Linked DNA regions of Notamacropus eugenii. The protein of the gene in region 2 purifies or fractionates together with the protein of the main gene of each other region. This does not show direct contact. Links are inferred from orthologs where the notes say so. Each region holds a gene or a part of one and is shown on either strand. Other genes may lie near its edges.

The links.
Region 1: the proteins of REXO4 (region 2) and RRS1 purify together in Homo sapiens (co-immunoprecipitation; 3 studies listed by BioGRID and IntAct, with this or other methods). This does not show direct contact. The link is inferred for Notamacropus eugenii from reciprocal best matches to the Homo sapiens genes REXO4 and RRS1.

The regions. Positions count from the first base shown.
Region 1 is NC_092875.1:286,369,221-286,384,400, reverse strand, and holds RRS1 (ribosome biogenesis regulatory protein homolog), read right to left. Parts: upstream 6,203-15,180; 5' UTR 6,114-6,202; coding exon 5,022-6,113; 3' UTR 4,617-5,021; downstream 1-4,616. UniProt on the Homo sapiens protein: Involved in ribosomal large subunit assembly. May regulate the localization of the 5S RNP/5S ribonucleoprotein particle to the nucleolus.
Region 2 is NC_092872.1:485,571,799-485,587,780, reverse strand, and holds the start of REXO4 (RNA exonuclease 4), read left to right. Parts: upstream 1-8,054; 5' UTR 8,055-8,239; intron 8,240-9,705; exon of another isoform or gene 9,706-9,712; 5' UTR 9,713-9,921; intron 9,922-10,902; 5' UTR 10,903-11,144; intron 11,145-11,278; 5' UTR 11,279-11,307; coding exon 11,308-11,550; intron 11,551-13,538; coding exon 13,539-13,900; intron 13,901-14,597; coding exon 14,598-14,735; intron 14,736-15,064; coding exon 15,065-15,258; intron 15,259-15,982. Other genes in the region: ADAMTS13 (A disintegrin and metalloproteinase with thrombospondin motifs 13), read right to left, coding at 788-1,071, 3,114-3,180, 3,688-3,762.

The DNA.
Region 1 (15,180 bases), on a different chromosome or scaffold from region 2:
TGTTTTTTGTATCCCCAGCTCTTAGTACAGTGCCTGGCACATGCAATAGAATCTTTGTCCTTCATTCTCAAAGAGGATCCAAATGACATCACTATGCTGGAATCAAGGTACAGTGTGTCCGACTGTGGCTGATCAGACCAATAAGAGCTTGAAAGGCTCTGGCACAGAGCACAGACCACAGGTGTGGCAGAAATTGCTTGCCACATAGCAGGCAATTAACAAAATGTTTGTTGACTGGCAGGGAAGGGGGAGATGCACCAATAACTAGGAGAATAAGGAAAGGTCTCTTGAGGGCCCCTGAGCATGATTTGAAGGGATCTAGGGATTCTATGAGGCAGAAGTGATCAAGGAAAATAAATGGAGGGTGTGTTTGTCCTTCATTGCAGAAGACCATGCCAGCAGAGAAATGATGGCATGACTTGCACTTGACTTTGAGTGACGGAGGGCTGTGCAGGTCACAGCCTCACTTCTCCTCCAGAGCCATCTGAATCCAGTGACCAGATATTCATCAGGATGACTGGAGATGACCCAGGAGGAGGCAGTGGGGGTTAAGTGACTTGCCCAAGGTCACACAGCTAGTGAGTGGCAAGAGTCTGAGGTAAGATTTGAACTCAGGTCCTCCTGACTCCTGCACTGGTTCTCTATCCACTGTACCAATCTAGCTGCCCCAAACGGTGGGTAACAACCACCTGTACAAAGGTAAAGAGGTGGGAGACAAGATGTTATATGTACAGGAAACACCAAGTGGACTAATCTGGGTGGAAAGTAGGATATGTGAGGAAGAATACTTGATGAGAAGTCTAGAAAGATAAAATGGAGTCCTATCATGTTGTTGTTCAGTCATTCCAGTTGTGTCCAATTTTTCATGACACTATTTGGCGTTTTCTCAGAAAAGATACTGGAGTGATTTGCCATTTTCTTCTCCAGCTCATTTTACAGAGGAGGAAACCAAGGCAAACAGGGTTAAGTGACTTGCCCAGGTCACACAGCTGGCAAGTGTCTGAGGCCAGATTTGAACTCAGATTCTCTTGACTTCAATCCTGGCACCCTATCCACAACACCATCTACTTGCCTCAAAGCAATATTATGGATTTTAAATGCCAGGTTGAGGAATATGTATTTTGTGTTAAAGGCTATCTGAAGCCATCAAAACTTCTTAAGCAAGAAAGTGTCACTTTCAGACTGTTGCTAGCAGTATATTCTACAAAGTAGGCTCTTAATATTTTAAAATTAATTCTTACTTTCCTCTCTGCTTTTAATTTTTCCATTTTAACAAAAATTTCTTCTGAAATCTTATTATTGATTAATGTTGGCATGGAGGTTGAGACTGCAAAACAGTTTAGTATAATGGAGGAAATAGTCTGGGGAAAGTGCTTTGCAAAGCTCAAAATGCTACAAAAATTTGAGTCATTATTGTCCTATTAAAAGCAAATTAACCTGTGAGGTTAATGTTGGATGTAAGTTGGATGCGGATAGAAACCCATCCACATCTATTCATCCTACACTTCCCTGGCTTCTTTAGGCTATGTCCCATGAAGGTGAACTTCAGCAGGTACTACAGGACCAGAAAAGCTTTGTACAGCCCAACTGAGGGTGCTTTTCTGTTTACTAGAAGACCTAAGGGTGAAGAAACTTATCAATAGAATTAGTCAACAAATGGCAAATTTTTGGGGTCATAGCAACTCATGAAGAACACCTATCAACAAATAGAGCACTTATTTGTGTTGGTGGAGGAAGTAAAAATGAAATTCAGTTTCTTCCCCCAATGTAACAAAAACGCAGTTTTTCGTTTAGTTTTCAGCCAATAGCTGACATTTCTATAGTGCTTAATACTGGATCCTCATAGCAGCCTTATAGTGATGTAGGGATTATTTCTACTTTGCAGATGGAAAAAAAAATATAGAGAGAAATTCAGTGACTTTTCCATGGTCATACACAGCTTGTGTCAGACAGTAACTACAATCAGTTATTTGTTAGTTCCAGACCCTATGCTCTTACAGCATTGCACCACATTGCTTGTAGGGAAATATATGAATTGAAAGCTGTCTGTTAGCTTTTTTGATTATTTTAATTACCCTTTCTCAATTGCTTGGTTATAGTGGGTTGTCTAAAACATGTTATTTCCAGGGTTAGGAGAAAGAAAATCTCTTAAAAGTCCTAGAAAGCTAACTACAAAGAGCCAGATGTCAAATGGTTGGCAAGCAGGCTGACTTGCCATTCTAGGGAACTTAATTTCCTAATTAGTTTCCGTAAGGGTTGAAGGCTTCCCAAGTTAAAATAAACCCTTGAAAGGCCTAGCATGTTGCCTTTCCCATAGCAGGCACTCATGTTCATTGATGACTTAAAACAGTGCAGTCTGCTGGAGAGTATTAGACTTGGAGCCACTTTTTAAGTTTAAATGCCATTGCTACCATTGGTTACTTATTTCCGTTGGTAATTTGGTTACTCACTTCCCTTTTCCAGCCCCATTTCATTTATAAGATGGTGGCAATGGTTTACACTAAATGATCTCTAGGGTCCCTTCCAATTAGGCAAATTTTACTTGACCAGAATGTAAATTCAGTTTAGCATTTGAATCTGCAGTCCTGGATTCAGTTAGAGGATGTGGGCACTGATACTTGTGACTTTGGATAAACTTTTTAACCTGAGTCTATTCTTTCATCCATAAACTGAGAGGTGGCCCTAATGATATCTAAGTTATATTTTAAGTACTATTGAATTTGGAATCTCCGAAACTTTACTGTGCAATCATGTAATTATTTGCTATTTTGGGGGGAGTGTGTGTGTGTGGTATCTACAGTTTTATCAGATTGCAGAGCTTCTGTTGAGGAAATTCCTTCTTCTGCTTGTGGGGTCTGCCTGCCTCAAGTGTTTACCCACTAAAGTGATTTTTCTAAAACAAAGGTCCAGTCATGTCAACTCCTCCGTCCTCCCAACTTAATAAACTCCAGTGGCTTCCTATTGCCTCCAGAAGCAAATATACAATGCTGTTTGGCATTTAAAGTCTTTCAGAACCTACTCTTCTCCCCCCCCCCCCCCTTTGCAGTCGTCTTCTACCCTACTCCCCAACACTGGTCTCCTGGCTGTTCTATGAACGAGATACTCCCTCTCTCTGGGCATTTTCTCTAACTGTCCCCCCCATTCCTGGAATGAGTTCCCTCTTCTGATCTGACTACTTAACTCCCTGGCTTCCTTCAAAGTCCCAACTAAAAATCCATCTTCTAAAGGAAATTTTCCCCAACACCTCATAGTTCTAGTGCTTTCCCTCTCTTATTTCCTGTATATAACTTGCTTTGTAAATCTGTTTATATTACCTCTCCCATTTGATTATAAGCTCCCTAAGGGCAGGAGACTCTTTTGCCTTTTTCTATTTCCAGTGCTTACTTAGCAGTGTCTGTCGCCTAGCAGGCACTTTATGTTTGTTGAAGTGATAATCTAGTTCTAATCCCTTGACCTTCCAGCTGAGGAAACTGAATCCCAGAGAGTAGATGTTACTTGTCTAAAGGATCTGGTCAGACTTTTCTGAATCCAAATCCACCTCTTTCCAACGTACTATGCTGCGTTCAATTCATTAATTGCCAGACAACGCAAATTTATTTTCAGCAATCTGGGACATTAAAAATATTCATATACTTTTACTATGGATTAATTTGAATTTTCATTTTAAAAAGTTAATAGGGGTTGACCCTAACTGACTAGAAAACATGAATCTGTCAGTTTTTAAAACAGCAATAGACAGCTCGGATGGAATATCAGTGCTTCTGATATAGTAAAAATAAGGCAGCCTTCATAAGTTAAGCATTTCTTTAGTGGACTTATGGGAAAATAAGGAGAATTACTGGTGAAAAAGCATGTGAGTTATGATCTATGTTGGTAAGAGCACTCGTACACCAGTGAGAGGGCAAATTCAAAATAAATTTTTATGGGACCAGCATAGAATTACTTCCTAATCCCTTATGAAATGGCTCCTGAAATTTTCATCTTTTTAATGCAGTTACCATATTCTGTTTTGTATTTCCATGAAGGCCTGATGTATGCTCCTGAAAAATTCCCTTCATTTTGGCATTGTCCTGCAACTAATACAAAATATGCTTAATATACGTTCAACTGAAAATTCACCATTTCCTCTATTTTGAACCAACAAAAGGATATGGGTTGCCTAAATATCCACTACTTAGGGATACCGTGCTAAATTATTACACAGTAGATTCTACCGTTTGGCTAACACAAGCCAAAATATTTGAGGCAATACAACAGGAGACTATGGGGGATGAGAAGAACCCCATGCCAGTTATCTTTACTCATACTTACTTGTATTCAGATCCCATCAGTTAGGATGAGTATTCAAATTAATGATTTTAAACAAGTTCCCTCTCCTAGGAGCTTTCAAGTTTAACATTTATGTGGTATGAATGTACAATTAAACGCTGTAAAACCAAAACGTACCTCATGTTTTTCCAGTTTTTAGGTATTTTCCCCAGACAACCAAAAGTTTTGCAGTATTTACTTTCCCTATCAACCTGGCAGTCTGGTGGCTGCAGGCTGCTGTTTTGGGGAGGTAAACCCAGAAAGCTACAGTCATATCTCTAAAGATAGAAGCTCCCAAATAAGAAACATTTTGGATACGAATGTAACATTTATTAATCTTGACAACTGGTTGCTTCGAAGCTTAATTCTGAACTCACAACATGAAACTTTTACTAATATGAACTCTATCCATACCTTCCTGAACAATTCCCCCCCCCCAAAGTTTTCAAAGTCTAGAAAACCATTTCAAGTCAAGCCTGAGTCGCAATTCCTTCGCAAAATATTCCATGATTACTCTGTCCCCCATTCATCTTTTTGAAAGTCCAAAGCAATTAAATTTTGGGCAACAAAGTTAGGTGCTTAACTATTTAACACCAGACTTCTCGAGGACAGGGGGCCATGTCTTTATTTCTGTATCCCACTGAGGCCTCCAACAAAAGAAGGCACTACCAATATTGTTCAGTGACTGAACACAAGTCAGAGAGGAAAATGCATCACTTCCTTCTCTTTCCTCCTTGACGGAGTCCTTTTTTGCCCCCCACGCCAGGTGGTCCCCCTTTTCGCTTGCCTCCTGGGCCAGGCGGTCCGCCTTTGCCCCTCCCCCCTGGACCTGGGGGTCGCCCTTTCCGCTTGCCCCGATGGCCCTTTCTGTTGCCCGCCTTGGCCATCTTCCTCTTCTTGGCAGCCTCTTCCCGGTCCTCCTCCCTCATCTGCTTGTTGGTCGCCCGGGTCACGTCCATCTTGGGCCTCTTGCTGTTCATGACCCTAATCAGCTCCAGCTGACTCTTCTTTTCCGCCGCGAAGTCTCCGATGTTGGGCTGGAACTGGCGCTTCTTGCCGGGGCCCTTGGGCGGCTTCTCCTTGGGCAGCCGCTCCTGGAAGCGCCCCACGGAGGCGGTGGAGACCTTGGCCACCTGCATGGCCTTGCTCAGCTCGTGCCGGCTCTGGTAGCCGGTGGGGTGCATCCCTCCCTGGCTGGGCAGCTGGACCTTGTGCGCCCGGGCGATGTTGCGCAGCCGGTTCAGCTCGTTCTTGGCCACGCGCTCCTTCTTGGCCTGCAGCCTCTTGGCGAACTGGTCCTCGTTGGGGTCGGCGCCGCCGGGCACCTCGATCAGCCACGCCTTGGTGTCGTCGCGGGCTCGCTGGTAGCCCCAGCGCCGCCGCCACTGCTTGCTCTCCTCGTCCCACACCAGGCTCGTCTTCTTTCGCGGCCGGATGCCCTTGAGCTGCGCGAACTGCTGCCAGCGGGTGAGCGGCCGCGGCTTGGGCAGCGGCTTCTCGCGGGGCAGCCGCAAGCTGGGCTCGGGCAGCTTGGCCACCACCGCCTCCTCCACGCGCTCCGCGGGCAGCTGCCACAGCTGGTTGATGAGCAGCTGCACGTTGTCCCGGGCCAGCCCCTGCAGCTGCGCCTCCAGGGCCGGCCCGCTCCGCTGCCGCAGGCCCGTCGGGGGGTTCCGGTCAGTGGCCAGCAGGTTGCCCAGGTCGAATTCGAGCTCCAGGTCCTTGTGCACAGTGATGAGCCGCAGCTTCTCCGCCTCGGCCCGCTCGGCCTTGGCCAGCACCTCTTCCACGCTGCGGGTCTCCATGGGGACCTGGGGCTCACAAAACCACTACCGCGCGGCTCGGACCATGTGCGGCTCCGAGTCCTCTCTTCCGGAAGTCAAAAGCTTCCTCTTCCGGTGCCACAGGAGGAATTCCGGGCCAACGCGCCGTGACACGACGGCAGGGGGCAGCGTTGCCGTACTGATTGGACAAGGCACTCGGAGACTTGAGTTGGGAGGGGCTGTGGAGGGGGCGGTGGCGTGTCGTTGTGGGACTACAAGTCCCAGCGGCCCAGCTAGAACTACGGATCCCAGAATGCGGTGCAGCTCGGCTCCCCACGTGTTAAGAGCTGGTGAGTAGCATTACAAACTGAGGTCCTGGAAACTCAGAGCCAGGATTTTTGTCTCCTCACCTCACCTCTTAGAAGTTAGAGATATGAAAAAGTTGCAAAATTTTTTTAAAAATGTAAATGAATAAATTTTAACCTGATTTTTTTACATGGAAAGCACCCTGCAAAAATGAGTTGGGGGATGGAGGTAAGGATTATTAAGGTCCTACTATGTGCCCGTCGTTGGTGCAAAGTGCTTTCCGATACTGGGTCATTTGATCCTTTCCCAACAGCCCTGGGAAGAAGGAGCTATTGTTATCGACGCTTGAGGCTGAGAGACGTTAAGTGACTTGCCCAGAGTCACACAGCTGGTGAGTGTCTGAGGCTGAATTTGAACTGGCCTTCCAGATGCCAGGCTGAGCGCTCTGCCCACCTTGCTTCCTGGCTGCCTGTGACATTACAGAACTGCGGCATCTGCTCCTTTAAGGGAGATGCTGAAGTAGGTGAGACAGGTATTAGCCTGACATGGCAAGGTCTGGTAGCAAAAGAGAGTTAGATGGGATCCCCAAGGCTGCCACACAGTCTGCTTGTCTCTGATTCTTCTGGGAGACCTTCATTCTGTAAGAGGACTGTAACACCAGGAAGGTGATGTCATGACTTGCAAGTGAATTGGGTTTAAGTGAGGGAGGGCTGTGCAGAGTCACCAGCCTCACTTTCTCTTCTGGAGCCATCTGGGCTCAGTGGCCAGATACAGCTCAGGACAATTGAATGTGGCACAGGATGTAATGGGAGACCTTGGCCTTTTTAAGCTAAGGTCTTTCCCAGGTCTCAGTTTGACTGAGGCAATACCCATTCAGTGATTAAGGCTAGGTAAGAAATGGGGTGAAGAATGGCCTCTTTTACCTAGTTAAAAAAAAATCAACCTGCGAGGGTAAGACCCTCCAGGTTTCTGGCCAAAGCAGAAATAGTTGCTATTTACATTTGGCCAAATAGCGTTTCTATTTTGGCTAGAATTTGCTTAGGGAGTCAATAAAGATGGATAATTCAGGCAACAAACACTAAACACTGTTTATGAGAAGAACACTGCTGGGTACTGGAAGAAAGATTTTTAGATTAAAAAATAACGACAATGGCTCTTCCCTGGTAGGACTTTTCATCTAGAGGGGGAGTATAACAAATGAATAACTACCATACAAAATGATATGTCATTGTTGTGTTAAAGAGGTATAAACAAAATATTTTGTGAGATCTGAGAGGATCTGGGCTGATTAGAGAGATGAGGGAAAGTTTCAAAATGGTGGTGGTAGAGTTCACATTTGAATTGGGCTTTTGAAGGTGGCTAGGGGAGAGAGGAATTTCAGGCACAAAAAGTGAAGCAAGATGAAGGCAGATGGGAAAGTTTAGCACTTGTAAGAAACAGTTGCAAGATTCCTTAGAGGTCAATGAAAAATGCAGTTTATCTGGAGCATAGAGTATATGGGAGTTTATTAAGGATAATTTTATAAATGGTAAGAGACTTGAATGCCTGGATGAGCTGGATATTTATTCATTTGGAAATAGAGAGCTACTCAAGGGTTTTGGGTAGAGGAATGACATGGCCAGTTAAGAAATACATTTGGCAGTAGCATAAGGGATTTATTCTACTGGGAGGGAGTGAAGGCAGAAGGAGGAGTCTATTGTAGCAATCGGTGTTGTTGCTGGTGAGAGCCTAAGGATGGTAATGCAGGAATGGGGAGAAGAGATGAATGGGAGATGTTGCAGATAACTGGCTGGATATGGGAAGTGAATGGGAGAGCAGTGTTCAAGAGAACACCAAAGCTGTGAACATGGGAAATCAGGTTGTGTTCACTTTTGGGTACCACAATTCAGGAACAGCATTGATAAGCTGGAGATGGTTCAGATGAGGTCAGCCAGGATGGTGGAGGGCTGGAAGATAGCCTGGGGAAGAGAAGACTTCTGTTTCATGCACTCTACATTCCAGGCAAATTGGCCTGCTACTTATTCCTTATTCTATGTCCTGTCGCCATGCTTTTATACTTACATTAAGGATCTACTTCCTCCTCTTTTCTTTGTCTTAGATTTTTTTTACCATTCTTCAAAGTACAGATTTGGGACTATCTCTAACATAAGGCATTTCCCTAAAATTACTGTATTTATTTATCTTTGTATATGTTCTTCTCCCTTCCTGCTTCCCTTTAGAATGTAAGCTTCTTGAGGTTATTTTGTTTTTATATTTCTACCTTTGATGCCTAACACTCTCTAGCTACCTGACCTTACCAAGTCAAGCTGAGTTTCAGTTTCTTCATCTGTAAAAAGTTCAAATCTGACCCCAGACATGTACTAGCTGTGTGACACTGGGCAAGTCACCCAACCCTGTTTGCATTAGTTTCCTCACCTGGAAAATGAGCTGGAGAAGGAAATGGCAAAACCAGTCCAGCATCTTTGCCAAGAAAACCCCAAATGGGGTCATGAAGAGTGGGACATGACTGAAAATGACTGAACAGCAATAGTCCAGATGTAAGGTGATGGCATAGAGCTTGTACCAAGGTGGTAGCAGTGGCAGAAGAGAGAAGAAGAAATGTATGAAGGTAAGATTTGGCCACAGATTGGAATTGTGTAGGAAAATTGGGAAAAAAGGATATAGTCAGAGAAATATATGACCTGAAAAACATAATCCATTTGCACAGCAGTAAGGAAGAATGACAAATAAACATGCTCCACGTTTGCTAGCTCTCCTTTCCACTGACATCTATCTAATCAATGTGAAGAACATACAAAGAGGATTCCTGATAAATTGGGTGGACCATCTTCCCTATGGAAGGACATGAATGAGTATCCAAATGGGTAGACATGGATGGGTTACCCATTTGCATTTTTGGATGGAGTGCCCACATGGAGGAGATCACACATTCACTGGAGTATTGATAAACTTGAGAGCATTCATAGAATACCAACATGGTGAAGGACATTGAGACCATGCCATATGAGGATCAAATTGAAGAACTGTCTTCAAATATTTGAAGGACTGTCATATGGAAGAACAAGTAGACTCATTCTGCTTGGTCCTAAGAGGGCAGAACTAGGGGTAATGGGTGGAAATTGCAAAGAGGTTGATTTAGGTTTGATATTAAGGAAAACCATCCTATGTTATTAAGGTTCAAAAGTGGAATGTGAAGACCTTGGAAGGTCTTCAGTCATTGGCTGTGTAGCTTCTTGTCAGTTTTGATGTGGAGGAAATTCTTGTCTAGGTACAGGTTGGACTAGAGAGCATTTGAAATTCCTTGTAGCTCTAATAGTCTGTTTGTTCTGTGATTGTTTAATATGTGGTAGTCTTCTTCCCAACCAGACTGCAAGTTTCTCAGGGGCAAGAACAGGGTCTTATATAGCTTTCATTTTCTCCATAGCACTAAGCATAGATGCTTAGGAGAAACTCAACAAATATGTGGTTGGATGGTTAGTGATTACAGATATTTGTAAATAAAAATGAAAAGTGTACAGTTATCCCTTCCACATCACAGCTTTATATCATGGTTTAGATATATTATGGAGATTGGCATAAGAAATTAAATGGGAATTTTGGGGAAGTTTTGCAAAAGTCTCAGACAGCACACAAATGCCAGAAGACAACACAGAAAAAGTTTAGAAACTTGGAAATGCATAATATATAGATATATAGTTTTGTATAATATCAATATATTTTAATACCATAATAATTCAAATTATGGAGAACGTTACTTGGAAATAATTCAGTGCCCACATTGACAGGGAGACAGGACTTCCTGAGACTTTCCTTCAGAAAATGCCAAATACCCAGCAAGGTTGCTTCTGGGACTGTATCCCAAAGAGATCATAGAAATGGGAAAGGGTCCCACATGTACAAAAATATTTATAGCAGCTCTCTTTGTGGTGGCCAAAAACTGGAAATCAAGGGGATGCCCATCAATTGGGGAATGGCTGAACAAGTTGTGGTATATGATTGTAATAGAATACTATTGTGCTATAAGAAATGATGAACCGGACAACTTCAGAGAGGCCTGGAAAGACTTACATGAACTGATGCGAAGTGAAAGAAGCAGAACCAGGAGAACTTTGTACTTAGTAGCAACCACAGTGTGCAAGGAATTTTTCTGGTAGATTTAGTACTTCATTGCAATGCAAGGACTTAAAAAATTCCCAATGGACTCTTTTTTTTTTTTTTGAAACAAAGTTGCGAGGATTTATTATACAGGCGTGCTACACTTGGCCACAAAGAAAACAATCAGTTCGGAATGGCCGCGGCCCCACGGCACAAACTCCAAGAGGCGGGCAGGTCGGTGGAATCGGCCTTCAAAAATGGCATGTCCTTGGTTGGGAGGGTGTCGGACGGTGGAGCCAGTCGTCAGTCGGTGCTTTGCGGGGAGGGAGGTCGGTCCATCTCTGCTCCTGTGGCCGCCGTGGGCAGCAGTCTGCTTACTTGGACCTCTGCCTCATCTTTCTTCTCTTGCGTTTCAGCCTACGCATTCGCTTCTTCCTCCACTTGGCTCTCATGGCTCAATGGGAGTAGACAAGATGGTGCTAGGAAGGGGAGCCCAATGGACTCTTGAGGCAAAACGTCTTCGACATCCAGAAAAAGAACTATGGAATTGGATTGCAGAATGAAGCAGATCATTTTCTTTTGTATTATGGTTTGTTTTTTTTTATGGTTTCTCTCATTCATTTTAATTCTTCTATGCAACATGACTAAGGTGAAAATGTATTTAATAGGAATATATGTGTAGAACCTATGTAAGATTGTACACCGTCTCAGGGAGGTAGTGGGGAGGGAGGAGGGAAAGAAGGGGAGGGAGGGGAAAAAATCTAAGATATTTAGAAGTGATTGTAGAACACTGAAAACAAATAAAATAATTTAATAAAAAAATGTAATTGAAGAATAAAAAAGTGCCAAATGGTATTCCAATACCTTCAAAAAAATTGAAATTCTTTCCTGAAGGCTAAATTATCTTCAAGAGTATATCTCCCAATCCTGAAGATGGTCTAGGAAATGTGCTCAGGTTTTAAATATTGTCAATTATTTCCAAATCTCACAGAATATGACCTTCTAACACAAACTAAGACACGAAGCAAATACAAAACAAAATGCACAAAATTATTCACTCATCCTTTTTCCCTGGAGAAGATCTAATTGTTGTCAGTAGGGAAAGAACCAATCCACAATCATAGAGTCCCTAAAAAAACTCTCCCTTTCTGGAAAATTTGTTCCTCTTGGGCCAAGTAGAATAAGGGGGAGGTTCTGATAAGGATCAAGGGAGCAGCTCTTATTTCCCCATTGCCCTGCTGCTGCCATCTGTTGTATTTGAGATTTTAACAAAAGGGAAAACTGAGGCAGATCTCTGCACAAGATAACATTTATTAGCAGAGGCATGCTACCTGTTAATAAGTGGGTCAGTGGATTGCCTCCATTTATGTTAAAGACCCTGAGCAAAAGGACTGTTCCTCTTTTATAGGTTTTGGGGAGTACAGAACAAAAAAGAGAACAGAGTAAGTGATACCATGGGACTGGAGTCAGCATGACTGGTTGCAGGGAGAAACATGACTGGTTGGAAGTTTGGTAATGGGGGCTAGCAATGATCCTCCGCCTTCTCTCAGGAAACTAAGAAGTGCTCATTCTTTGAGTTCAGGTGTGAGACAACAATCTAGACTTTTGGACGACAAACCAGACGTCTCTGAATTATAGCTTGGTGGAGTAAAGATAATCAGGTCCGACTCTCTTCCTTGAGTTTAATTCCTTGAGGCAGGAGAGTTGGATTTTAAAACTGAACTCTGAGCTAAATTCAGAGATAAAGAACCATCCCATATGCTTATAAAATGTATTGCACCCCCAATTTGGGGTCTTTTGGCTATTTGTGGGGTCAAGAGATCTGCTTTGTTGATGGGTAGTACCTCTACTAATAAAATATAGCTTTGCTGGGAGAAATGTACCCTGATTTACCCTTTTATTAAATATCCAATGCAACCACAAAGAACAAAGAACAGAATTGTGAAGATGAGGAAAATAACACAATCGGTGATAGGGATGGCTGCATCGTGAGGGTGAGGACAACAAGACTGACGATGTTAAGAAGAATGAACTAACACTCATGTGGGGCTAGCACCACCCTTCTCTGTGTTAGAGAAATGCTTGATTAATTTATGGGCCCCATCAGCATCCCATGGATAATGGACCAAGGATACTAGACTCCCTGGCTCCTACAAGGGAGATGAAACTCTCCTTAATTGTACAAGGGATAGGCAAGGATGGACATTACATTTTGTGGAGATGTACCAGGTTAGCTTGCACGACTTCAACAGTTGCAAACACATGTCATGGAATTTTTCAGGAGCTTACGGCCTACCTGCAAGGTTAAAGGTAGTGGACCAAACTCCCTGGTATCTCTGCATTCCTCAACAATAGCAGATTTCCTTGAGGCAAGAATAGAACAGAACTGAAGTTCTAAACTTAGCTCATAGGCAAAGAGATGAGAAAAATATGGCTTGAGTAATACAAAATGGTGCAGTAAAACAGAATAGAATAAATTATAAAGTGATACAGAATCAATTTAATTCCTTCATCTTTAAGTCTGGTAAGTCTGAATGCAGGACTGTGTATGTATGTGTGTGTGTGTGTGTGTGTGTGTGTGTGTGCGTGCGTGTGTAAAGAGTGAGACAGAGAGAGACAGAGAGAGAGTGCACTTTTTGCTGACCAGAATGCTAACACAGATCAGAAGTTTTGGTGCTGGCCAGTATGTATACAATAAGGGCAGAAATATAGGAAAAGGTAGAGGTTGATAGCCTCTGTGGCTTTACCAGTTTTTTGGGTTGTTGTACTTGCGCTCAGAGAGATCAAGGAAGTCTCCTCCTACCTGCTGTCTAATGCCACCCCCATCCTCCACTTCCACCGAGTCTTATACAGCAACTATGAAATTTTAGGAAGTTGATTGACCATCAGGAATTTGACAGGATTTAAAAGGAATTTCCTAACTCCAAGTCAGATAGTTCACTAAAATGGAAAGCCGCAGAAGTCAATCTAAAGTGTAGAGTTCATCTTCACTTTCTGTTAGTTCTGTTTCTGTTAGTTCTTTTTATTGAGTTCCTGGCTGAGTGTCCTCATCATGACTTCTATCTCTTTGGAAGATTAGAAGTGCTTTAGTTCTGCCTTGTAAAGGAACAGGCTTTTAGCAGTTGCACCCTAGAAAATGTCATTGGAAATGGATTGTATATTTGAAGACCAGTAGATGGTAGCAGAGAGCAGTGAATGCCGCAACTGAAGCATATGGAAACCTGGGGAGCCTCTTCAGAATGTGGGCACGTGAAACAAAGCAGAGACCACACAGCATCCAGCATGAAGCATCTGATGCCTAGCACTGGAGGTGGAACTTCCGCTGGAAGGCAGCACAATGGCAGTACCAGAGAACCCTGGCATTTCTGCAGCCTCAGAGATGGAAGTGTGGTCACTACAAATGTGTGTTTATTACTACATTGTGCTGTTTTGATAGATCATCGCATATAACAATAACATAAAATAAGATAATAACTAGCATGTACATGTGCTGGTTCCTTAAGACTTGTAAAGTACTTTACATGTGTTTTCTCATTTGATCCTCATAATCCTATGAAGTAATTACTATTATTATTTGATAAAAGAAGAGACATTAGAAGTCATTGCATCTGTCCCTTTTGCTTTATAGGTACAAAGGCTCAGAAAAATTAAACTTCTTGTCCAGGGTCACATAGCTATTAAGTATCTGAGACAGGGCTTGAACTTAGGTCTTCTTGACTCCAAGGCCAACATTATCTATCACACCAAGCTGGAGGGTATATTTTTCATCCGTCTGATAATTTAGTCAGGTAATTCTCAGACCACTGGTTCAATTCTAGCCCAAAATATGGACTCGAGCTCTAAGCACTTTTTTCACTTTAAACTCTTAGGAGCCTAAAGCTTTTTACATTTGGGCAATGTTTATAGGATCATCTAGAATGTGCTATGTCTATTGTGGGTAAGTGAATTTCCAATTCAAGATGGTAGAGTTGCCATGTGTCATGTGGAAAATAAGCAAAGTAGAAGAGTTCCAGGAATGTGGGAGGCAGAAGGACCAGTGCTCCTGTTAACCAAAGCATGTACAGGCTGAAGGATTCCATAGATGTTAGTGATTACTATTTTACTTAGCTGAGAAGGATGCTAGTTTTCCTCTGGTGTAGCTACTCTCTCTTTTCTGGTGTTTTCACTCAGGAAAAGGAGGTATGTGGTACAGTGGGAAAAATACTGAATTTGTAGTCAAAGGGTTTGGGTTCAAATTCCAACTCTACAAATTCCAACACACAGTTTACAGTGTGACCTTAGGCAAGTTAACTTCACTAGATCTGTTTCCTCATTTGGAAAATGAGGGGATCAGAAGGACTTCTGAAGTTCCTTAGCAGCTATGAGTCTATGACATTATGATATGTATTCAGAAAAGCAGAGTTGTATAGAAACGGTAGAAAAAAATAACATCAGAATTGCCTCTACAGACTTTAGATGTATAAATTAGTGTGGTATCCATTCAGTCTCTTGAGATCTACACTGGCAGATTTGTTTCAGTTGTCCTCCTTGTAAAAAGAAGAAATATGGGTTTTTTTCAAGCCTTAATTCAGTGAGTCATCTCATTAAAAAACATTTATCCAAGCATCATCTGAGGTGGTGGGGATACAAAGAAAAAAATGAAAGTCTGCCCCCAAGATGCTTATATTCATCCATCCAAATATTCATTCATTCAACTCCATAACTATAA
Region 2 (15,982 bases):
CATACAGGGACTAAATCCCATCGTGCTGACCTTAGTAAGATTATGCTCTGTGTCAACAAACAACTCTACTCCAAATACAGTTCCTCAAAACCTTGCCTAAACACCCTCTGAGGTCAACAGTAGTTAGGCCTTAGGAGATTAGCGTGGAAGCTGTAAGGATAAAATTCTTTACTGGATTATCGCTGTATCACAGTAAGAAGAGACTAGGTTTGTGAGTACAAATTCCCGAAACTGTCACAGAACCGTAGCAGAATCACAGAATCTTTGAGTTGGAAATATATCTCAAAAATTATATAGTATCTAACCCCCTCATTTTAGAGGAAAGAAAACTGAGTCCAAGAGAAGGAAAGTAACTCGGCTAACATCACAAAATCACACAGAGGCATAACATGGTATAGTAAAAAGAACACCAGATCTGAAGGCAAAAGACCTGGGTTTGGATCCCAGTTCTGTTAATTATTACCTGTGTGCCCCTGGGCGAGTGACTTAACCTCCATGGGCCTCAATTTCCTCATCTATAAAATGAGGGACTTGGACAAGATAAACCTAAGACTCCAGCTCTTTTGACTACCAGCTTTACCAACTTAATAACTGGAGCATTGTAAGATACATTCAAGTACAGAGTTGAGAAAAAGTAATTATACATATTTTCACAGAGTCTTCCTCCCATCCTTCTACTTTGTGATATACCAGGATCACCCTCAACATTCCCCATCCTCTTACATATTCTACCTAGCTAACAAACGCTAACAAAATGAAACCGCTAACAATCATAGCATTCACTCACCAACTGCCCAGCACAGTAAGTAATCTTCGCAGCAACCCCAGCAGGGAACAGGACCCTGCCTCCTGTAAAGCAGCTGTCTGGATATTGTTTCAGTAGCCAGAAAGAGGAGTTAATCGCCAATTGACTAGTAAACGATGGGATCAGGAGGCTAAACTCCTCAGGGAACTGGAAGGTATAAAGTTCTCCTAGGGCCTGGAAGGAGCAGCGCTGGGTCTTACAATGTAACCTGGAAATCTGATGGTCTTCACAAAGGCAGCTGAGCTGAAGCACATCGAACTCTAGGGCTGGAAGAAACAAGATAGGCAGTGTGATTTAGGAAATCTTAGCTTAGCATTTCCTTAGCTCTTTCCACATGAGAAAATAGGCAAAACTGAATTCCTTGGCACATTTATTTGGCAGGAAGAAGGAGGCCTCCATCTTTAAAGACCCACATCTTTAAAATTATCATCCTCTCCCCACTTGGCCAAGAGCAAACTGACCATACCTTTTATATAGTCCCAATTTAGTGTTTTCTTTCTCCTCAAACTACCTTATATTATATTTCTCTGTGTATGTGTTGTATTCTCCCCCACCTCCACCCTTAGGTAGAATGTAAACTCCTTACGGGCAGATTGTGATTCTTTGTCTTTGTCTCCCCAGTACCTAACAGTGCCTGGCAAAGCAACTAACACCCCAAAGATCTGTGTTTTAGTCAGCAATGTGGAATCCCAGTGTGGCTTCTCCAAGTCAGAACAAAACCACCTAAGACTTAGTGGGTTCACAAGCCCCAGGGCACACAAAGACTAAGTAATATATTTGCCCAGGATCACACATCAGTAAGCTTCAGAAGCCAGATCTGAACAAGATCCTACTGACTCCTGTCAACCATTACTAAGTTTGTTAGTAGAAAGACAAACAAAATTAGTCTGAATATGAGGGTTTATTTCTCTCAAAGCTTGAAGAACACGCATATAGAGATAGGTGTGGGAGCTCATCATGAGACGATGAACTCAAGGATGGACAAAAGATTTTTATATCTTCAGAGCAATTCCATCTCGCCCCTTCCTCTCTTCCTGGCTCAGGATGCCTATGTCAGCCAAAATTATAATCTCTATAGGGTTAGCCATGATATGAGAAAGGAATCTCTCAAGTGGATAGGTTGTAAATGCAATAAGACAATTGACAAAGTGTCAACTGAAATTACAATCCCAGGATATCTGTTTCTTTTACCATTAACATGACATAACACAGTATATGTCCATAAAATACTTAAGAAAAGTCTCATTATTGTCTGGTCAAGGCACCTTGTCCTTGGTAGTCATTAACAGAAGAATGAGTGTTGACATAGGAAGGGGCATTTGGAGCTCATTCGAAGCATGTCTATTATGCCAGAGCATGCAAAGCATTATGGTAGATTAAGTTCACAGTGGGCCACAACGTCTCTCCTGATTAGCCAATCCAGGTTTTAGGCCTTTCTTAGATCTTGGGGGTTCACAATGGTTTGGGGAAGGGTCTACACTCCAAACCCATTGATTTGTTCACTATGCCACAATACCTCTTGACTCTGAACACTGTAGGTATGAAATAAACGTCTGCAGGCTTTAAGACAAGACTGCAAGTAACAAGTGAGTCTACTTCAGTAGTAGAAAGCCCCCTAATTCCCTGTTCCTGACTAGGAACTCCATAGAATGAAAACATTAATCATGCTCCTAAATCCCCAATTAACAACAATCCCTAACATATTGATATATGAGAGTGAAAAGACTTTGTACTAATTATAATTAACTCTCTTTGGCTAAAAAAAAAAAAAAGAAAAGAAATTGAGGCAATGATATTCATCTCCATTTTCCACAAAAAAACTCTGTTTCTATAAAGAGAAATAATCCCTCCTGAATAAAAAAAAAAATGTTAAAAGTTGAAGGGGTTTTAGAGAGTATCTATTCTAACTGCATCCGTTTAGAGATGACAGAGAGAAACCCAGAAGAAGGAAGGTACTTGCCCAAACTAGTTAGCATCTATTTGCTTTGAGATATTTAAAAAGATTCTTTTACAGAAAGTTCTGGAGTCAGATCTCTAGCTCTGTCCTGGAAACGACTCAGATCATGTTTCTTTATGTTTGTCAGTAAGATAACAGCAAGCATTTAATTAGCAGGAAGAGACTTGGTCCATGGAAGAGAAGTAACTTCCCCCTCACACACGCTTCCAAGAAAAAGGTCCTTGCAGCGTGTATCTTAGCCTAAAGTGGGGGATGTAAAAAAGAAAATCAAAGATATATTGACTCAACTAATTACCAAGAAAGATAAAATTAGTAATGTTTCCCTTACTAAAAAGAACCACAGAATAGTACCTTCTAGGGTGGAAACAGCACCAAAATAAAAGAAAATATTTTCTGGATCCAAAGCCATCAGAAACCTCTGAAAGAGAAAGGGAGAGGAAGAAGCAGGTAGATTTAGTAAATATATGTTTTGCCTTTGACTAGATGAAAAGCAATCACCATAATAATAACAATATTCCTTCTGCAATTAACTGGCTTTAGTCCCCTGGATTTCTGAGTTCTGACTTAATTTATGCCAAACAACTTGATGTCAAAGAAGAATAGCTGACTTTTGTGTACTGCTATAAAGTTTATAAAGCACTGTACAATTATCTCATTTGAGCCTTATAACAGCCCTGAAGAAGGCACTAGAGTTATCCCCATTTTACAGATGAAGACACTGAGGTTCAGAGAGTTTAAGAGAATTGCTAGTAGTCATATATCTAGTAATCATTAGAGTCTAGAATGGAATTGCCACCTTCCTGAATCCAAGTTATCTCCCAAGTTTCCTTTATTTAACAAAATAAAGGTCAATTTCAACCCATATCATCAGATTTTTAAGGAGCCTAATTCCTTAAATATTAGTATTTCTAGAAATTAAACTCACCTTTTGAAAATCTGGAAGTTGGAAAGATCCCAGAAGGAAGAAAGCAGAAGCAAAGATCACCCACGTGTTGAGCATGGTCAGAGAAAAGGTAACTCACACTTTGCTGAAGTCTTCCCTCTGCACTACACAAAATCCAATTTTAGGGAAAAGACAGATTCAGAATTTAAAACAGCTACGCAAATTATGTTGGGGAATGGAGATCCCAAGAGGGAAATCTGGTCAATGTCAAATGTGACAGCAACAGCTGGGAGGGAGCTATTAGGCAATGTTTACTCATTAGGAGACTTGCAAGGTTAAGAGGTCTGAGATAGTTCATATTATACAACAACCAAATAGAGAGGGAGAAGTTAGAGAAGAGAGGCAGTTTCTAACAGCAAAAAGATTCAGCTCCACAGTGATTTTTATACCACAGGACAGAAGGGATGAAATTTGACAACTCTCAGATCAATATGTAAATTTGTCGCTGTAGGACATGTGACTTTCTCCTGTGATATACTTCTTACTATTGTTTTTGAATTGGGTTCCATAGTTTTGGCATTTTCCCAAAGTTGCAAGCAATCATGGTGGCTTGCCTTGACAGAGTAAAGTATGGGAGAATGTTCTGGGAAATTTCAGTCAATGAATGGAACCCAATCCTTCTCCCTAGGTATTTCAAGAAAACAGGGATAAATCTTCATCCTCAGTCAGAGCTTTGTGCTATTTCAGTGGTCTCCAAAGTAGAGCACATGTATCCTAGGGATATGTAAGACAATATATTGAAGTGCAGGAAGAATTTCTATTTATATCTTTATTTAAACAAATAAGAAAGTAATTCATTTTTACTCATGTTTAACATGTGACATGGGTTAACATTGGCTCTTTGACTCAGTCCATATGTCAGGTAGCCTTCCGCAACCCCTCTTAATTCTGGTGCCTTCCCTCTTTTAATTATTTCCTGTTGTCCTGTATGTAACTTGCTTTGTATATATATGTTTGCATGTCATCTCCCCATTTGATTGTAAGCTCCTTGAAGGCAGGAACTTTGCCTCTTTTTGTATCCCCAGCACTTAGCACAATGCCTGACACTTAATGTTTATTTTTTGACCGATGTAACATGTATGGTATACAAGGTATCCTAAGGGAATCATGGGCATTCCACTACATAGAGGCATAGACAGTGCTCCCTCCATTTCACATGCTTTTGACATATTGCAGTATATGTCAGTATACACATGCCCAGGTAAGTGACTTAAGAATATTCCTGCAAAGAAACCAAAGACTATGCTAATAATAAGGGCACAAGCAAACAATAAAATGGCAAAATTGGCCCTTCTGCTCCTAGGAGATTTTGTCAGCCACATTTGTCTTTGTCAGCCACATTGTGAGGTTAAAAAAAATGATGGTCTAATCAAATATGAAAAGTTAACACCCTGAAATCAAAATTATCAAGAACATTTGATATGAATTTATTTTCAGTATTGTTAATAATGAACCTTAAAGTAGATGTATATTGTGCCTTGCAATATTAGCTAATGACAGCATAAAGCCATTATAGTTAATGGCATTTAGAAACTAAGCATTTAAAGTCCCAAATTAGAAGGGTGCCACCCATGAAAATTCTCATGTCTCCTAAAATTTGGAAACTGAATTTTCTTGTTTGAAAATCTTTGAAATGAAGAGTTCCAGTGGGTTTTTTAACCTGTTTAAAATATAAAAATACAATATCTTCTAATTAGTTTGCAACAACTAACATCAAAGAAGATAGAAACATACTAGCTGATTTCAACAAAAACCTTTACATAGCCAGTGAATTGTGATCAAGATGGCTGCTTGAACAGAAGCAGACCAAATAGCTCCCACAGTCCTATTCCAGCAAAAACCCTGAAATTTGTACTAGAACAAATAATGATTTTTTTTAATTCAATGAGAAATTACAATAAGCAATTTCTTCCATCACAAAATTGCACAAAAATTTAGCCAGAAACCCCCACCCAATAACAAAAGATGCTACCAGCAAAGCCATCACCAACCAGAGCAGGCAAAGGAAAGGGCAGTCTCCTAGGGCAGAGTCCTGTATAGGCTCTGGGGTTCTGTATCTAGAGAGATCAAGAGTGGAAGGCCCCATCAGGAAGTCTCAGAAAAGGGAGAAATCCCCAGTGTTGTCATAAAATCTCAGGATAAGGACCCTGGAAGCCCTAGGGAACAGGAGTGACCAGTGTGGTTCAGCAATGCTCAGTATGAGAGGACAGGTGACCAGAGTCTCCACAATTCCTAATACATCGTCCTGAGATGACATAGAGTGACCTAAGATTCTAGCACTCTGAACTTCAAAGATCTAGGGAGGCTATAAGCTTGGTTGTTGTAAATTGGCACAGAGCCACAGGTGATTCAGGGAGAGACCAACCAGAGCTAACTACTCCACCCTAGATTGAAAAATGAGAATGGAATCTGGTCCTGGCACAAAGCCCCCAAAACTAGAGAGATGAATAATCCAAAGAAGATACCACCAGTGTCTGAAGATGCTCCCAAAGAAGGAGTGAATAACTTTTTAACAGCCCCAAGCAGAGATTCCAAGTGGTAAAAATGACATTCCATAAGAATTACATGAATATTCAGAAGAAATGAAATGATGAAAATGAAACAAAAGCTCTGGAGGAGAGGACTGGAAGGAGAATAAATAACTTAGAAGAGAAAGTGATCACTCTTACCCAAACAAGAGACTCCCTGAAAACTAAAATAGACTGAACAGAACAATGGCTCTACAAGAAAGCAAGAAACATTAGAACAAATGCTTAAAAAGAGAAAATGTAATATATCTCATCTTTAAAAATAACTGACCTAGTAAACGGATCAAGGAGAGATCATTTAAGAATCATTGGGCTCCTTGAAAATCTTCATTAAAAAAGAAAGGAAAGGAATACTGGACAGATACATTAGAACTACAGGCCAAAGTAAAGAAAAAAATCTACCAATCACCTTCTAAAAAAAAAAGTCTCAGGAATGTTACAGCCAAAATCCAGAGCTCCCATGTCAAAGAAAAATTACTGCATCTGGAAAGTAAATCAAATAGCAAGGCATATGACAGGCATTTATTTATTAAGCTGCCACCATGTGCCAAGTACTGTGCTTAGCCAAGGAACCAGCCAGAATCACACAAGACCTGCCTACTTCTACAATAAATGAAAGCTCTTGAAATAAAATATTCCAAAGGGCAAAAGATAAAGGATTACAACTAAGAATAATTTTCCCTACAAAGCTGTGTAATCCCACATGGGGGGAAAAAATGAACCTTTAATGAATTTTTAGAGGTTTTTCCAAGCATTTACGATAAAATAACTTGTTTTAAGCCTGGGGAAAAGATAATTGCCCACAAGGTCTACTTGTTTCTTTCCACTGTGGCATTAATGAATTTATTTTATATGAAAATTTCTAAGGTCAGTCAAAATTACTCTGAGCCTCCAGTTAGGAAAATTTTTAACACCTAAGCAGAAGTTTAATTCTCTGCCTAGCTTTACATCTCTCTCTCTCATAACCTGTGGCCTCATTGTGGTCGAAGCAAAATTCAGTTCGCTGGAAACACATGACTAAATAATAAATTATACTATATTGTCTGTGAACAAATAGTTATCAGGAAAGGAAATTGGGGAAAAGAACTGACCTTTTATTGGGACTTCCTCTCAGTCTGGGCACTGCTCTGCAGCATACCTATAGAGCAGGCCTATACAACCTGCAGCCTGCAAAAAGGAAGATATTTTTCGCAGTCCACCTGACATCCTTTGGTGGGCCACAGGTTGTACAGGCCTGCTATAGAGCAACAAAAACACAAACATACTTACTGATCTTGAAGGGAGGATGGAAAAGAAAAGAAGTAGATAGGGAATGGTTCAGTAAATTTTGGTATATAAATGTACTGAAATATTATTGCACAATAAAAATGATGAAAAAAGTTTATTTCAGAAAATCCTGAATAACACGAACTGAATCGGAGTAAACTGAGTAGAACCAGACAATTTATATGATAACAGTATTGTAAACAAAAATAACATTTGCTCGGGGTCAAGGCCCGAACCCCCTGGATCCCCCTGACCCACAGGCCTCCAATCTGTGGGCCCTGAAGGAAGGAGACTGGAGACAAGATGATCCAGGCAACAACTCTTTATTCAGCTGAGGGTTAGGGTTTATAAAGGCTGATCCACCAATCACATACATGCTGAGCTCATCCCATTACTTTACCATCTCATGACTATTCCATATCCTTACACCCGCAGTAAGGAAGGAAGCTTATCTTGTTCCTGCAGCTAGTTCCTGGGTTCCCAGGCTCACTTGTAACTTTACTGTACAGAGCACCAGTATCTGCAGGAACATCAGGTTCCAGGGTCACACAGAGCTTCTGCCAGGGTGTGCATCAGCACCGTTGCCACAGGAACAGGCTTTGCCTCTGACTTGCACCCCCAGAGACCCTCTGGGCCCCTTACAAACATTGAACGCTTAAAAATCTCAGGTTAATGCAATGGCCAACCACATCCCCAGAAGGATCTGTAATGAAGCACTTTACACACGTCCTGACAGAGAGGTAATACATTTAAGAGACAAGCTTTATTTTACTATATGGCCATTGTATAGGTTTATCTTGTCTTATTTGGTTCACCTATGCTGATTTCTTAAAAAAGGTGGGTTTTTTGGCCTCCATTTTTATTGGAGGAAGGGGAGAGAAGGGTGTGGTTAGTAATGGTAAGAAAAAGAGGGGCCATTGAAACTATCTTTAAAATTCATGGAAGTGAATAGAGGGAAGTTCAGATAAAGCAAAAACAAGCAGAATACTTTTGAAAGTATGTGGAATTTATTATTTGTTTTAAAATTAGCAATATAAATTACAGATTCACAGTTCAATACATAGTTCTGTATTTTACTATTTATATGGAAATACTTTTTCAGTGTTTAAGTTTAAAATGAAAAAATATTAATATTAAGATAATTAATAAGACAATTTACTAAGTACAACCAACAGAGCATTTCTTCCACTTGGGTCAATGGATCTTTGTGAGGCATCTTTTAAGCTGTAACAGCTATTAGCATGAGCTATCAAAATAATGTACTTACTTAGAATCAGATCTTTGAATTTTTGTATCTTAGTATTAAACCAACATTTTAAAGAAATAACGAAGCATATTCAATCACATTGCTCTTATTAAAAATATTAGTAATTCAAATGAGAATTTACCAAATGAGGGCAAAAAGGGTTTTTGTACCATTGATAAAATTTTAAATTATTTCAATATTATCCTTTTAAAATGTCTGTTTTATAATGTTCATATTAGTTCAGTGTATATGATATATGTGATTTGCATAAGAATACATTTTATAAATATATAAATATGCATGCACACATGTATGTTAGAAGTTCATGATCAAATTTTTTACTGATAGTGTTAAAGACACGCTTAACACTAATAAGGTATCAAGGAAAATTTATTGCAGCAGAGTCCAGAGGAATTGATCACCTTTGGCCAAAAGAGGGCTCAAACCCCACCCCACCCCTTAGAAAGGAAGAGCATGAATTGCTTCTGAATACAGAAGTAAGATTGAGCTATATATCCTTAGTTCAGGACAGATCCTCCCACCAGGAGACAGCTTGGTCCATTCTCCATGGGATCACCATCTTCTCTACCTACCTGTTACATAACCACTGTTGGTGTGATCTTCCCACTCCACCATGCTTTAACATACGACCCATGATCAGAAAATGGAGGGATAATTTTATGTGGGGTGTCTGCTTATATACATTATATATACATACACATTACATACATATACATTAAAGCCTTCCCCACGTTATTCCTGGTCATATTTCCCTACTGGTCCGGCAGTTTCAGGCCTGGACCTTCTTATCACAAATGTTGTGGCTTTCTGAAGGCCACTGTCTGTCTCTTGATTGGTTGAGTCCACCTGCAGTGTGCTAACTTTCTTGTCATCTGACTTATTCTCAATGACTTCATCAACCAATAACCTCTGCAGAAACTTAACTTTTTGGTGTCTCTCACAATAGGGATTCAAAAAAGTTTGAATTCATGCTCTAGAAAGCACCAGAGTGTGCCGACTGGATCCTTCGTGGCAGTAATGAGCACATCTATTCTGGTTGGACCTGGATGACTGTGGCATCTGGAGGCAACAAAGCGGACTGGAAGCAGAAAGACGTGCGTTCAGATCGGACCTCAGCCACTGGCTGTGTACACCTCGGGAAGTCACCGAACCTCGGTCAGCTTCCCCATCTGCAAACGGAGAGAGTAACAGCACCCATCTCCCAAGGATTTCGTGAGGACAAAATGAAACAAGGTTTACCAAGCTCTCTGCAGACCTCAAAGTGCTGTATCAACGCTAGCTACCATACATGATACCTCAGCGTACATGCACTTAAATACATATGTATGTTGGTGCTGGCCCTTTGGTTTCTGAAGAGGGCCAGTAGTGCCATTCTGGCAGCTGCCTCCCCTCACGGGTAACGGGGATTTAAGCGAGGCAGAGCTCCGCTAAGTCGGTGCCTCACCCTTCCAGAGAGCCCCCGGCAGCACCACCGGCAATGGCCCTTCGGCCGCCGTGGCGGCCTTTACTCTGGTGTGGTCTGCGCACACGCCGTAGCTTCTGAGAGCCAGGCACGGGGTGTGTGGGGTGCCAGGGAGGGCAGCACCCCTGGGGCGGGGCTTGCGGACCCCTTTTCAGAGCTGCTCGTCCGGTCACCTTGGGGGTCTACCTGGCACCATGCGCACGTGTGTACACACGTGTATATATATCTCTATCTATACACATATCTATATATACACACTACATATACATACATATATATGTACACACGTGTATATCTATTATAGAGATGTGATCAGCACTGGGCCAGAAACAATGAATGAAAAAGCATTTATTAGCATGAGAAATATAAACAGAAAAATGGAGACAGTCCAAGTTTCAAAGAGAAGGAGAAAGTTCGAGAAGGGAGAGGGAGAAAAAGGGGGAGGAAAGGAGGGCGACAAACGCGACTTCTTGGTGTTACCCCGATTGTAGTCCCCCCGATTCCTCACGTCCCATGTGGCTTCCTCCCCTCCCTCTTTTCCTCCGGTCCCCTTTCTTCCCTTCCGGAGAGCTCAGGCTGCGACCGCCAAATCCAACCACCCAGTTCCCGGTCGCGAGCCCCCGACTTGGGTCCCTCTCCAGCCAGAGTACCGACGCAGACCTATCCATACACAGGTTCTCGGAACTCTGCTAACCGGAGCCTCGCTCCCAGCCGGCTGACAGAGCAAGGGCTTCCGGGAGAGTCGCGTCCGTACGTGCGTGCGTCAACCCATGCGTGCGTAGCGGCACGAGAACCGCTAGAGATCGGGCTACGGAAGCCGAGCAGCTTCCTACAGGCGAACGGGGAACTGGCTTCTCTGTGTCTCGAAGAGCCTCGAGGGGGGTGTCTAGGCCTGCGGGGCCGGACAGGGTTTGAGGTAAGTGAGGAGACGGGAAAAGGGGGCAATATCCCCAGAGAAGCCTCGGGAAGTGTCCGGGGCCGGGCGGGAGGGGACCCCGAGCTCGCGTGGGGTCTGAGGCCGGCTCACGCACGGGGTCCTTTGGTCTCTAGCTGTCTCGGGGCCCTCGGATGGCACCGAGATGAAAGTGAAGGCCGGGCTCGCCAAACCTTCCACGGGCCGGGCTGTGGCCAAGCCGGAGCTTGTCAAGAAGCCCGATCGGAAAAAACAGAAGAAAAAGAAGAAGAAATTCTGGAAAAAGTACCCCAACGCGGCAGCAGAAGCTTCCAAGAAGCTAGAGAGCCCGGATGTCCGGGCGGCGCGGGCGGCGCTGCCCCCCAGGGGGCCGCAAGAATTTTCCCACAACTGGAAGGCCTTGCAGGAGGTAAGATGTAAGCGGGGTTCCCTGCGCGGAAAGTCGGCATGTCTGGGCTCATGCTGGGCGACTTTGGGCAAGGCACCTAGCCACTCCAGCCTCAGTGTCCTCCTCTGTAAAATGAGGCACTCCAGTGCTCCTTCTAGCTCTAGGTCCATGAGTCCTTCTCTTTTTTTTCTGGACTTCACATGGTACCGACCACATGCTTTTTAAAGGAAGGGCAGGGAATGATCTTCCTGTTTAACACTAAGGAATACCTCGAAGGATCCAGAAGTAGTCATAAAAACATTTGTATTGCGCTTAAAAACCATGTATCTAGCAATTAGGACGTGCGAGGCACTTTATAAAATTATCCCATTTGATCCTTTACAACCACCCTGGGTGGTAGGTACTGTTATTGTCCCCATTTTACAATTGAGTAAACTGAGGCAGTCGGGACTTCAAGTGAAGCCTGAGGCCAGATTTGACTTTAAGTCTTCCTGATTCTGGGCCTTGTGCTCCATTCGCTGTGCCACCACCTACCTGCACCCATTTTATGGGTCTCTCCCCCCTAACCCCCAATGGAAAAGAAATCCATAAGACAAGATAAAGAAATTTGGGTTGAAAATTTTTATTTCAAAGTAAATTTTGGGGTTATTTTTTACAGTACTACTTAGTATACTATAACTGCATAAAATAAGTTGAAGGGCCTGCCCTAGGCCTCAAAACAAAAAGATCCACAGGTGTTTATTGTGTTAGGTGTTGGAAATTCTTCAGAAATAAGTGTTAGATTTGAGGTTACAACTGGAAAAGGCTAGTTTAGACCGAAATAATATATGGATGTAAATGAAAGTTCTCACTTATATTTAAATAGAAGTTTAATTTCAAAGAAAAACTAGAGTTGATACCACATCACACCTATCAGATTGGCTAATATGACAAAACAGGAAGATGACAAAATATTAGAGAGGATGTGGGAGAGTTGGAACACTAATTTCTTGTTGGTGAAGCTGTGAGCTGATCCAACCATTCTGGAGATCAGTGTGGAACTATGCCCAAAGGGCTACAAAAATGTGCATACCCTTTGACACAGCAATACCACTTCTAGGACTGTATCCCCAAGAGATCATGAAAATGGGAAAGGGTCCCACATGTACAAAAATATTTATAGTAGCTCTCTTTGTGGTGGCCAAAAACTGGAAATCAAGGGGTTGCCCATCAATTGGGGAATAGCTGAATAAATTGTGGTATGTAAATGTAATGGAATACTATTGTGATATAAGAAGTGATGAACAGGAAGACTTCAGAGAGGCCTGGAAAGACTTATATGATCTGATGCTGAGTGAAAGGAACAGAACCAGGAGAACTTTGTACACAGTAACAACCACAGTGTGCGAGGACATTTTCTGGTAGAATTAGTACTTCATTGCAATGCAAAGACTTAAATAATTCTCAGTGGTCTCTTAAGGCAAAATGCCTTCCACACATAGGGATAGAACTATAGAATTCAATCGCAGAATGAAGCAGGTCATTTTCTTTTTGTATTATGTTTTGATTTGTTTTATGATTTCTCCCATTCATTTTAATTCTTCTATGTAACATGTCTAAGGTGAAAATGTATGTAATAGGAATGTATGTGTAGAACCTATATAAAACTGTATGCTATCTCAGGGAGGGAGTGGGGAGGTAGGGGAGAAGAGGGATAGGAAGGGGAAAATATCTAAGATATTTGGAAGTGATTGTGGAACACTGAAAACAAATTTAAAACAAGATATGAGGGGGAGAAAGAAAAACTAGAGTTGAAAATAATCATTATTGTATAAGTGAAGAAGAGGAACTCTTTGAGAGTAAAGACAATATCATTTTTGTTGATGCACCTGCACATAGTGGTTATTTAATAAATGTTTGTTTAGATGCTGCTGCCTAAATGCTCATGGTAAAAAAGGATTTTCTTAGAGCCATAAATTTTGATGGTTTAATTGCCAGGTTAAAATGTGGGTTTCTTTGATTCTTATCAGCTGTTGAAACAAAAAACTCCAAATCCAGAAACATCTGTTCCTGCCTCTCTGGGGAATCCCAGAAAACAACCCAAAAGCTACCACCAGAATGGCAGAAGTGCTTCTAAGAAGGAAGAACATGGTGATGCAGAACTACCGAAGGTGGCAGGCAAAATAGGCCAATCTTCCTCTAAGGCTTCTATTTCTTTAGGATCTTTGAATGACACAAAGGTTGTCCCTCATAAAAAGCGCAGTGAAACAAAGGACACAGGCAATGGAACTGAAACTATGAAAAGAAAAAATGGTGGCCTTCACCAGAAAATAGGGGACATCAAGCATGAAAAGAGGAAAGCAGAAGAATTAGTTCCTTCTCCACCCACAGAGTGAGTATTGGACCTCCTGAATTCCCTTGGAATTGGAATTTATCTAACTAGAGCAAATAATATTGTTTGAGGAGGAAGAAACCATCATAATTCCCACAGGTGGCCTCTGTGGTCTTTGTACTGCAGGTACACTACTACAGGTGTACTACAGGTTTTAAAACTAGGAAGGCTAAATGGAGCAGTGAGTTTATGTTACTGACTCATTGATGTGGAAATTTAAGTTTTGATTTATTATAGAAATGAGTTTTAGAACATGGATCCCTTAATTCCTTTGGCATGTGCTTGATAGATACCCCATGAGTGGCAAATTCAGAACAAAGCCAAAGTCATGTCAGAATTCAAAATAGATGGGCCATTTAAAGCAGAGGTTCTGAACCTGAAGTCCATGAACTTTTTTTTTTTTTGACTATTTCAATATAAATGGGGTTTTTGTTATACTATTTTATTTTATTTAGGTTATGTTGTTTTATGCACTTAAAAACATTCTACTTTCAGGTCCATAGGCTTTATCACACTGCCAAAAGTCCCTAACACAAAAAAAAGCCTACAGACTTCTGATCTAAAGAATCCCTTCTACACTTTTTGCCTACATTGACTTTAGGAACCAGCCATAGCCCTCATGACAGCAGATAAGAAGGAAATGGAGAGGTGGGTTTTTTCCCTTTTTGGTGCTAAGTGTCTTTTCTTTCCTTTTTAGATCAGACATCTGGTTTGATGATGTAGATCCTAAGGATATTGAAGCTGCCATTGGTCCAGAAGCTGCAAAAATAGCTAGAATGAAACTGGGTCTGAAGGAAAAAAATCTGTCTCTGGTGAAAGAAAGGGCATTTGAAGGGTATGTTGAAGGGTTTTGTTGAGTTTTTTTGTTTTGTTTTTTTGTTTTTGTTTTTTTTACCATGGGAGAAGAGATGTGTGCTACATAGAACAGATATGACACAGGAACCTTGAAGGGCATAGATGGGTTGCTTCCTTTGATAGGCACTGTGAATAATCTTCCATGAAGGACCTCTTTAGTTAAATGATAATAACCCAGGGCATGTTATCACTTTAGCAACAAGCCATGTCAGGGTAGTGAATCCTTTGTGCCCCTCCTCTAAGTTACAAGTGTGCAGAGATTCACCCTTAATCTAGGTGTTTTAACCCAGACCTTTGGTTCTCTCTCAGCATGACCAAAGCCATAGCTATGGATTGTGAGATGGTGGGAGCAGGGCCAGATGGGGAAGAAAACATCCTTGCCCGAGTGTCCATCGTGAACCAGTTTGGGAAGTGTGTTTATGACAAGTACGTCAAGCCAACAGAGAAAGTGACTGATTACCGAACAGATGTCAGTGGGATTCGGCCAGAGGACATCAAACATGGTAGGCAGAGTGCCTTCCATAAACACCAGAACCAGCCTGAAAGGATTACTGCCAGGAACCTAGGAACTTAAAAAGGGAGAAAAAACATGAATGGCATAGGACAAAGGACTTAACAATGGAACTTTATTTCATTTATAACTTAGGTGTCAGTAATTCTTTTGGAGGGAAATGTATCAGTTCACCCCTTCCAGAGGAACCTTTCATTTATGCCTTTTCTGGCTTAACTGTTCTGAAGCCAAGGACCGTGTTCTTCTTTGGATTCATTTATGTTCTCATGCCATGCTTGTTAAAATCCAGTGTGTTTTATGGTAGTTAAGTAAGGTTCAGGTGTCTATGGCCTTCTTATTTATATGGAAAATCCATGTTGTGGATTTAGGTCCTTGTGCCCTCTCCCTTTGCTGTGCAGCTATGGATAAGGTCATTTCATACCTTTGAGCCTCCTGAAAAATGAAGATTGGACTGAATGATCTATCTCTAAGGTCTTTCCAGGGGACTTTTGTGATTCTAGTTTTGAGGAAATTATTGTGAACAAGGCTTATATTTTGTCGTTTATGTTTAAGAATAGCTTCCCCTAAGGCTCTCTTCTGATGCTTCACTGTGGTGTGAACGTGACCCCCGGCACTCATGAAGGTTTTGCCAGTGGTATACAGGGTCTAGTAGGTTCTACCAAACTGGAAAGGTTTCAGGTGTAGGCCCAGTGATACAGAAGCTCATCACCAGATTG